Linked DNA regions of Cricetulus griseus. The protein of the gene in region 2 purifies or fractionates together with the protein of the main gene of each other region. This does not show direct contact. Links are inferred from orthologs where the notes say so. Each region holds a gene or a part of one and is shown on either strand. Other genes may lie near its edges. The genes, in order: Trim31 and Nlrp3.

Evidence for each region.
Region 1: the proteins of Nlrp3 (region 2) and Trim31 purify together in Homo sapiens (affinity purification with western blotting; 3 studies listed by BioGRID). This does not show direct contact. The link is inferred for Cricetulus griseus from reciprocal best matches to the Homo sapiens genes NLRP3 and TRIM31.

What each region holds. Positions count from the first base shown.
Region 1 is NW_023276806.1:228,842,312-228,846,846, forward strand, and holds the start of Trim31 (E3 ubiquitin-protein ligase TRIM31), read right to left. Parts: upstream 2,991-4,535; coding exon 2,592-2,990; intron 2,198-2,591; coding exon 2,102-2,197; intron 393-2,101; coding exon 162-392; intron 1-161.
Region 2 is NC_048600.1:73,610,911-73,614,723, reverse strand, and holds part of Nlrp3 (NACHT, LRR and PYD domains-containing protein 3), read right to left. Parts: intron 3,637-3,813; coding exon 1,881-3,636; intron 532-1,880; coding exon 361-531; intron 1-360. UniProt on the Homo sapiens protein: Sensor component of the NLRP3 inflammasome, which mediates inflammasome activation in response to defects in membrane integrity, leading to secretion of inflammatory cytokines IL1B and IL18 and pyroptosis.

The DNA.
Region 1 (4,535 bases), on a different chromosome or scaffold from region 2:
AGTATCTGACTTTAATGTCCTTTCAGGGAGTGGAGGGGACAAAGGCCTCAGAGGAACCAGATATTAGGAGCTGTTAGGCCACAGCATAATACAGATTCTTAAGTCTCTTTCAGAGAGAGAGAGAGAGAGAGAGAGAGAGAGAGAGAGAGAGAGAGACTTACATCCAGTAGCTCCATGGGCGGTGCTTGTAACCTATTTTTTAGGGATCTTGAGAGCTTCCTGAGGGAAGTCAACTGCTCATTAGTCGCAGTGACATACTGTCCTATTTGCTTGGCTCCCTCGTGCTCCAGCCAGTCCAACCTGGACAGGAGGAATCTCTCTTCCTCTTCCAATCTCAGGTGCAGGTGTTTGAATTCTTCAAGGATCTTTAGTTTTTCTAGATGTATCTGGGCCTGGAGACAAAGGAAGGGATGCAAAGATGGGGGACGGGCATGAGAGAGGGTCCTCCAAGCTTCCTTTAAGCCCTTCATTCACTTTTTAAATCAACCATGAATGAATGAATGATCAGTCAGTTACGGGCAAAGTCTCACTATATAACCCTGGCTAGCCAGGAACTCAGTAAGTGCAACAGGTTGGCCTTCGATTCACAGAGATCCACCTGCCTCTGCCTCCTAAGTGCTGGGAATCAAAGGCACGTACCACCTGGCACTGTTCACTCTTTGGGAATATTTAAAGATTATGCTGAACAGCTTGCTGGGGGCATACCTGTGGGAAAGGGGGGTGGGGCAAGGAGATCAAAGCACTTCCTGTGCAAATTTAGGCTCTCTCTCTCTCTCTCTCTCTCTCTCTATATATATATATATATAATATATATATATATATATATATATTGCCTTCAAGTACATCAGCTGGATGAACAACTATGCAATCTTAACACTTGGAAAGTACAGACAGGAGATTCAGGAATCAGAGGCCAGCCTGAACTACTTGAGCCACTCTCTCAACAAACAACCTACCAACATCGCAATCGAAAACCCAGGATAAGATTGTAGTTCAATTGATAGGGTGCTTGCTTAGAATGCATCCTCAGCCCTGCATGATCTGGGCATGGCAATATAGACCTGCAGTAATCTGGACATGGTGATATAGCCCTGCAATTTCAGTACTGGGGGAAGGATGAAAGGATCAGAAGCTCAAGGCTCTTCTTTTCTGTATAACAATCTCTAGCTTATGCTACATAAGATACTGTGTCTAGGAGCTGGAGACACGGCTTGGTAAAGGAGTTTGTTGCTCCTGCAAAGGGCTCAGAGTCAATTCCCAGAACACACATGGTAGATCCCAACCATCCTAATTCCAATTCCAGGGATCCAATACCCTTTTCTGATCTCCATGCCAGGCATGCATCTGGTATACAAACAAAGCATTCACTCACATAAAATTAAATCTAAAGATAAATAAATAAATAAATATTCTTAAAAGTCGATGGAGGAAGAACACAGACAAAAGAAAGAGAGAAGGAAAGAAAGGAAGGAAGGAAGGAAGGAAGGAAGGAAGGAAGAAGCTTAACTGCCTTCATACTAAATGTTCCATGGATGTACAAAAACCAACCAATCAAACCACCAGGACCTGGAGAGATGGCTCAGGGGTTTAGAATGCGTCCAGAGGACCTGAATTCAGTCTCCAGCACCTAGGAAGAGCAGGTCACAAATGCCTGTAATTCCAGTGCCTTTGGTTTCTGCCAATATTTGCACACACATGGCTTTCACTCACACAGACACATGCATATGCACATAAATAAAAATAATAAAAAACAACCTTTTAAGAAAAGCAATCAAAGACAGGCAGAGACATTTTGTGGTGCCACAGTCTCTCCATCTTTTCTTACAGTGTAACCAGGCTGTAGTGAAAAGGGCTTGGGTGACGCAATGTGCGGGCAGTCCTTACAAAGCCCACTGTGGGTGGAGGAATAGGAGACCTCCTGGTTCCCTGGTGCAGCACCCGGGCAGGTAGATGAGTACAGCTCAGGCACCACACTCCCTGCCCCTCGACACTGATACCGTGTCAGCAGGTCTTTGTTCCGGCTTGGTGTATAAGGAATGCTAGGAGTTTCAACAGAGCTGCCTCAACTTCCTCAGAAGTGTTTGGAGTGAATATTTCTTACCCTGAACACCTGGATTGCCCCTTCACTTCGCTTTTTCTCTTCAATTATTTCTTTGTCCTTTTGGCCCAAATCCTGAATTTGTGACTCTATCAGCACCTGTGGGGAGAGGATACTTCAGTCAGGCTCTGCCTCTAGGAATGTCATTATTATCAGCCCCCTTTTTCTTTCCCATGGATCAAACAATTTTTTCCCTTGTACTATGTGGTCCTGAGGGCCAAACTTGGGTCCTCAGACTTGGTGGCAAGTGCCTTACACTCCGAGTTATCTCTCCTGCTCCCAAAGCACTATTCTGATTCTTCTTCTTCTTCTCACCTTGGTTACAGACTGGCATTTCCCAGAACTTGGCTCTTTGAGCCCACTGGGCCTGGCTACATATAGCCAATTCAAGTGCAGCGGTGAGTACCAACCAGCTGGCACAGGCAGCTGCTCCTATGTCCTCAGGGAGTTCTCCTCTGCTGGGCTGGGGATAGAGAAGGAGCCAGGTACCTACCTTGTAGTTCTGGTCAGCCTCATCTATCAAGGTGACATTGTGGGACTTATGGCTCCTGGAGTCACGGCACACCAGACAGAGGAACTCCCCGTCCTGCTCACAGAAGTAATGGAATTTTTCCTTGTGTTTAAGACATCTTTTCTCTTCCCCTTCTGGTTGGAATTCAGTGGGATCCATAGACCGGATTGTCTCTGCAAGACTAGCCAACTGCTTGTTGGGCCTGAACGTATCCTTACTCACAGTGACCTTGCAGAGGGGACACTGGAGGTTTTCTGTAGTTTTCCCAACCTGGATGATACATTGCTGGCAGAAGTTGTGCCCACAGTCAATGGTGACAGGATTCTGTAGGATCTCCAGGCAGATGGGGCAGGTCACCTCCTCCTGTAGTTTGTTTGCCATGAAGGAGCAGCAGGGCCAAATTGAAGTGTGAAAGCTCAGAAGTCTAAGGCAGGCACAGGTGCTGGGAAGAGAAAATGCAACAGGAAGCAGCCGTTAAAAAGTGTCACCACTGGAAGACCACAGAGAGACAAAATGAAGGGGGGGTAAAGCAAATGAACAGCAACAACACAAAAGTAAAACTTAAATGGGGAATATTGTAAAGAGAAAAGACAGGTAGTTGGACCATCCTACCTCACTGTCTCTCAAAAGCAAACAGATACTGTGAACTCATGCTTCCTGTAAAGCAGACCAAGGTTCCTGGACCTTGAACTAATTAAATAGATGTTTCCAAAGCAGTTGTCTGAGAACAAAAGAACCAAGTGTCAAAGTCTACTCAACTGCAGGTAGGGAGTGGAGCTGCTGACTGGCAGCCCCAGAAAGGTGGGGCTTATCTAACCCCATTGATCTCTTACTTCCCCCTCCTGTCTTCTATTGGGTTTCCTCACTGTCTCTGAGCCATCTTTTGTTCTGTTTGTCATGCCTGCTTCTTCCTCAGTCTCTGTTCACAGACCCCTAGCTTACTCAACCTGTTTCTTTTATCCTAACTAGGAAAGCATCAGCCAGTGTCATCCATGTAACCTTAGTAGCTCAACTCTTCACTTCTTAACAGTTCATCTTGCTCTTTGCTCCCAGGAACACAGTGTGTCTCCCTTCCTTTCCACTCCCCGTCCCACCAGCCCAGTCTCTCTTCTGTCATTAAAAACCAAACTTTCTTCCTCTCTGGTGGTGACCTCAACTCAGGATCTTTCTCTTGCTATGCAAGCTCTCTAGCACTGAGCAAAACCCCCAGCTCCTGTTAGGGCAATTTCAAAACGTCTGTCTTTATACTTGGTTCTTATTCATGCCCCTCCCACCCCGCCGCCGCCGCCCGCACCACATGACAGCCACTCATTCTTAATCATCCCTTTACTCCCCTAAGTTGGTCCTTCCTTCTACATCAGTGTACTCCGTTATGCCCTCTTAGTTCCACCACCCACTCATTCCCTCCCCCTTGTTCATGGTCTCCCAGCCCACTGATTGCTATTGAATATTTTTAATTAAAAATACTTTTATTTATTCATTGATAATTTCATATGTGTACAATTCTATCTTGATCCGTACCCCAATCACTCATCTTACTTGCCACTAATCCTTCCAACATGTCACTTTCCCAGTTCTATTCTCTCTTCATATATATTGTTTTTTGTTTGTTTGTTTCTTGTTTTTTGATTTCTCTGTGTAGCCCTGGCTGTCCTGGAGCTTGCTCTGTAAACCAGGCTGGCCTTGAACTCAAATCCATCTGCCTCTGCCTCCCGAGTGCTAGGATTAAAGGCGTGCGCCACCGACATGCAGCTATTTATATTTTTAATAGTTGTTTATTTTTATGTGTAAGAGTGTTCTTGACTGCATGTATATAATGTGCACCATGTGCATGCCCGGTTCCCATGGAGGCCAGAAAGGGGATTAGGATAGCCTTGAACTAGAATTACAAATGGCCGGGAGTCACTATGTGGTACTGGGAGCCAA
Region 2 (3,813 bases):
AAGCCTTTATTTTGCCACGAGGAAATAGTTCTTCTCAGTTCCTCTTCACCTTCCCCATCTAAAGCTTTCCCTACTTACCTCAGTCATTCAGCCTGCCCATTTATAACAGAATCAGCTATGTTCCTCCAAAGCTTTGTGTATCAGAGTTCAACCCCAGCAGCCCACAGTGTGTGACCATATTTGGAAATAGGCAACTTCAAATAGGTAATTAAACTGAATCCACAGTGTTGGCCCTAGTCTATTTAGACAGTATCAGACACAAGGAAAGGTTGTAAGAGTTTAGAACATGGACACACAGCTGGAATGTAATGCAAAGACTCGAGGAAGAAACACACACCATACACAAATGTGGAGACTCACCACAGTCTCTGAATGTTACAGCCTGGATGCCGGAGGGCCTCACACAGCACCCTCATACCAGGATCCCCCAGAGTATTGTCGCTAAGGTCCAGTTCAGTGAGGTTCTGGTTGGTGCTTAGACTGGAGAAGAGGTCTCGGCAGAAGCTAGACGTGAGATAGCAGTTTGCCAATCTAGAATGGCACAGAAGAAGGACAGAAAAGAACATGGTTTTCTAATGTTAACAAAGTGGAGCTCAGAGCAGGCTCCCGGCACCTATTCATAGAAAAGTCTCCTAGATGTCAAGCCACCAGTCATAAATGTTCATTCAGAGGGAAGCAGGCTGGTGAGCCTTGGGTAGAGAGAGGTTCCTTTTGAAATGCAACGAAGTAAACTTTAGGCTTACTACAAACACCCTCAGACACCTCCTTCCCACATTAGACAGCTGGTGTGCCCCTGGCCTGGACATGCAGCAGACTGGTCCAGGATGTCCAATTGTAAAGTCCCGAGCCATGCTGCAACCACAGAAGCAAAGTCAGAATCTTAAAAGCTAAACCCATCTACATTGGTAGTTTTCATTTTCACAGTCATTTCTAGGATTCACATTAGAATATCCCTTATGAGAGTTTCTTTGTATACATGCAGGACTAGCTTTGTGACTCTGAACCTCTGATGAGGATACCCACATAGCTAGTCCTCTTGGAAGGTTCTGTGATAAACCAAGAAAGCCTCTGCTCAGCAAGGAAAATGGCTGTTACCTAAAGTAAGAGATCCCAACTTCTCATCAAGGGTTTTAGCCTGAGTCTCTGCCTTTCTCAAGAGTGTGTGGTCCTAATCTGGCCTCTTAGCCTCTCTCTACTCCTTTAGGGCCCTAAGGAGCCAATCTGTCTTCTTCTATCTCGTCTCTCTTTCCATCTCCCACTGGCATCATCTAAATTTTCACCTACTCTTCAAAAATTCAGATTGGTACCCTAGTCTCAGAATGTTGGGATCAGGAGGTGAGGTTTTTGGAAGATGGTTGGTCATACGGCAAAACCTCATAGATAATAACAGTACCTTGTGAAAGAGACAAACAAGGAGTTGCTTCCCCTCCTCCCACCAAGTAAAAAGAAAAAATATGTGGGGTGCCCAATATTCAGTCTTCCCATCCTCCACAACTGTAACAAACAAACCTTTTATCTTCAAAAATAACCTAGTTTCAAGCATCCATTACAGCAGCATTGAAATAAAGAGGATTGAAGTAAGACAGTGAGCTAGAGCTATAGGCTACATCTCCATGCACTGCCGCAGTCCACCTGATACTTTGTGCTGCACTGATATTCTCCCAAAATGCTTATTTCTTAGTTTACTGGATTTTGTCCTCAACCCCAATTATCCACCTAGCAGGAGTCACTCTCTACCAATGAAAAGGTGGCAGTCACATTATCATGAAGCTGGGCAATTATATTTGGAACATCAGAGAGGAGAGGAATTAAGGACCAAGAAATGTAGCCAGAAAGCATAAGGTGCTGGCTACCATCTTCTTGGAGCCAAATGCCCTTACCTGGAAGAACAGGCAGAATAGGGCTCTTGGAAAGCACACGGGACCTGGTCCACCTGTCGAGTTCCCCCCTTGTCTTCGTCTTCTTCCTTGGGTGAGTTGTGGAGAAACCCCAGGGAAAGTGTTTTCACCCGATGACAGTTCTTGATACAAAACGAAGAAACCACATGGTCCATTCTGGTAGAGAGGTTGATCTCAATTTTGGGGAAGTGGTCCATGGCTCTCTGCACAAAGTCTTCCTCCTGCATCTCATACAAGCAGTAGAAGAGTTCCAGCTGACTGGGCTGTCTCTGCAGCTTCTTGGCCTTGGCTTTCACTTCAATCCATTTTAGCAGTTCCTGTCTGACTTGCTGAGAGATCTTGCAACTTAATTTCTTCTCCAAATAGGAGGTTCTCTCCTGGTTTACAAGGCCAAAGAGGAAACGGACAACAAAAATCAGATAGCCTTTTTCAAACTTGCCATAATTTTCTAGGAGGACCTTCACATCTCGGTTCAGAAGATCTGAACAACCTGCTGGTCCCTTCCTCATAGCTGTCCCCTCTTCTTCCTCTTCCAGCAAGTAGTACATAGCAGCAAAGAACTCCTGGAAGGTCATGTGGCTGAAGCTGTAGAATCTCTCACAGTCCACTTCCTTTTGGAACACGTTCATCCTCAGGAATGCAGAGACGTCTGCCATCTGCAGGCCATGTTTCCTCAGATCACACTCCTCAAATAGGATTTTCTGGTTCCAAATGCCATCTGCAGCCAGTGAGCAGAGCCCCTGTAGGTGGGAAGAGAAGAGGTGCTCCTCCATGTCCCCTCGGGATTGCAGCAGGCTGGAAAGGAAAAAGACATAGACAGCGGTAGTGGTCTTGGAGGTCTGGGCCAGGCTCTTTCCAGTCTCCATCTGCTGCTTCAGTCCTGTGCACACAATCCAGCAGACCAGGGGGATGAAGCACATGGTAAAAAGAATCTCATTCTCTTGGATCAACCTGAAGGCTTCCCTGGCCTGCAGCTCATCTGAGAAATACTTAAAGAAATACTCCTTCCTTTTGGCCTCAGAGAAACCTAGGATCTCTACATGGCGAGGGTGGTCCAGCAGATGCTGCAGCTTCTCCAAGGCTACCGGCCTCGTTGTAATGAGCAGAGAGGCCTTGGGCAGCAGCTTCTTTCGGATGAGGCTGCTCAGCAGAATGTCTCCCCTCACAGCCTTCTGCCAGTCTGTGCAGACCTCTCCAATGTGCTCATCAAAGGCTCCTTGCAGCTCATCAAAACCATCCATGAGGAAGAGGATCCTGGAGGGCTTGTGCAGGATCTTGCACACTGGTGGGTTTGAGTCAGGCCAGCAGCTGACAATCAGGTCTCCCAGACTCCTTGATGTTCTGAGGCTCACCTCTCGACAGTGGATAAAGAATACATAATCAAATTTGTCTTTGAAGAGCTTCCCAGATGCCCAGTCCAACATAATCTTCCTGGCTAGTATTGTTTTCCCAATGCCTGCTGCTCCCTGGAACACCACTGTGTGTACAGGCTCTGTGTTTTCATCCTCTGGATCAAACAGTGACCCCAGCTTAATGGAACTCATGCGGCTATCCCACATTTTGGTCCTGCCAATGCTCAGTAATTCATTCTCTCTCTCCTGCTTGCTCGGATGCTCCTTGACCAGTTGTAGCTGAGTGTAGCGTTTGTTGAGGTCCACACTCTCACCCAGACGTGCATTCCTATCTTTGATACAGTAGAACCTGCTTCTCACGTGTTTTCTGTACATCTTACAGTAATCTGCAACAGAGACAGGAAGGTAGAATTCAGGAAAAGCCCACACATACCTATTCTCCAACAATAAGCTATTAGTGGACCTATGCTCTTATAGGAGGAACATTGAAAATTGTGAGGATCCAATAATAACAACAACAAAATGCACAGAGTGCTGTCAACTAGGGAGAAGGTGCTCACTAA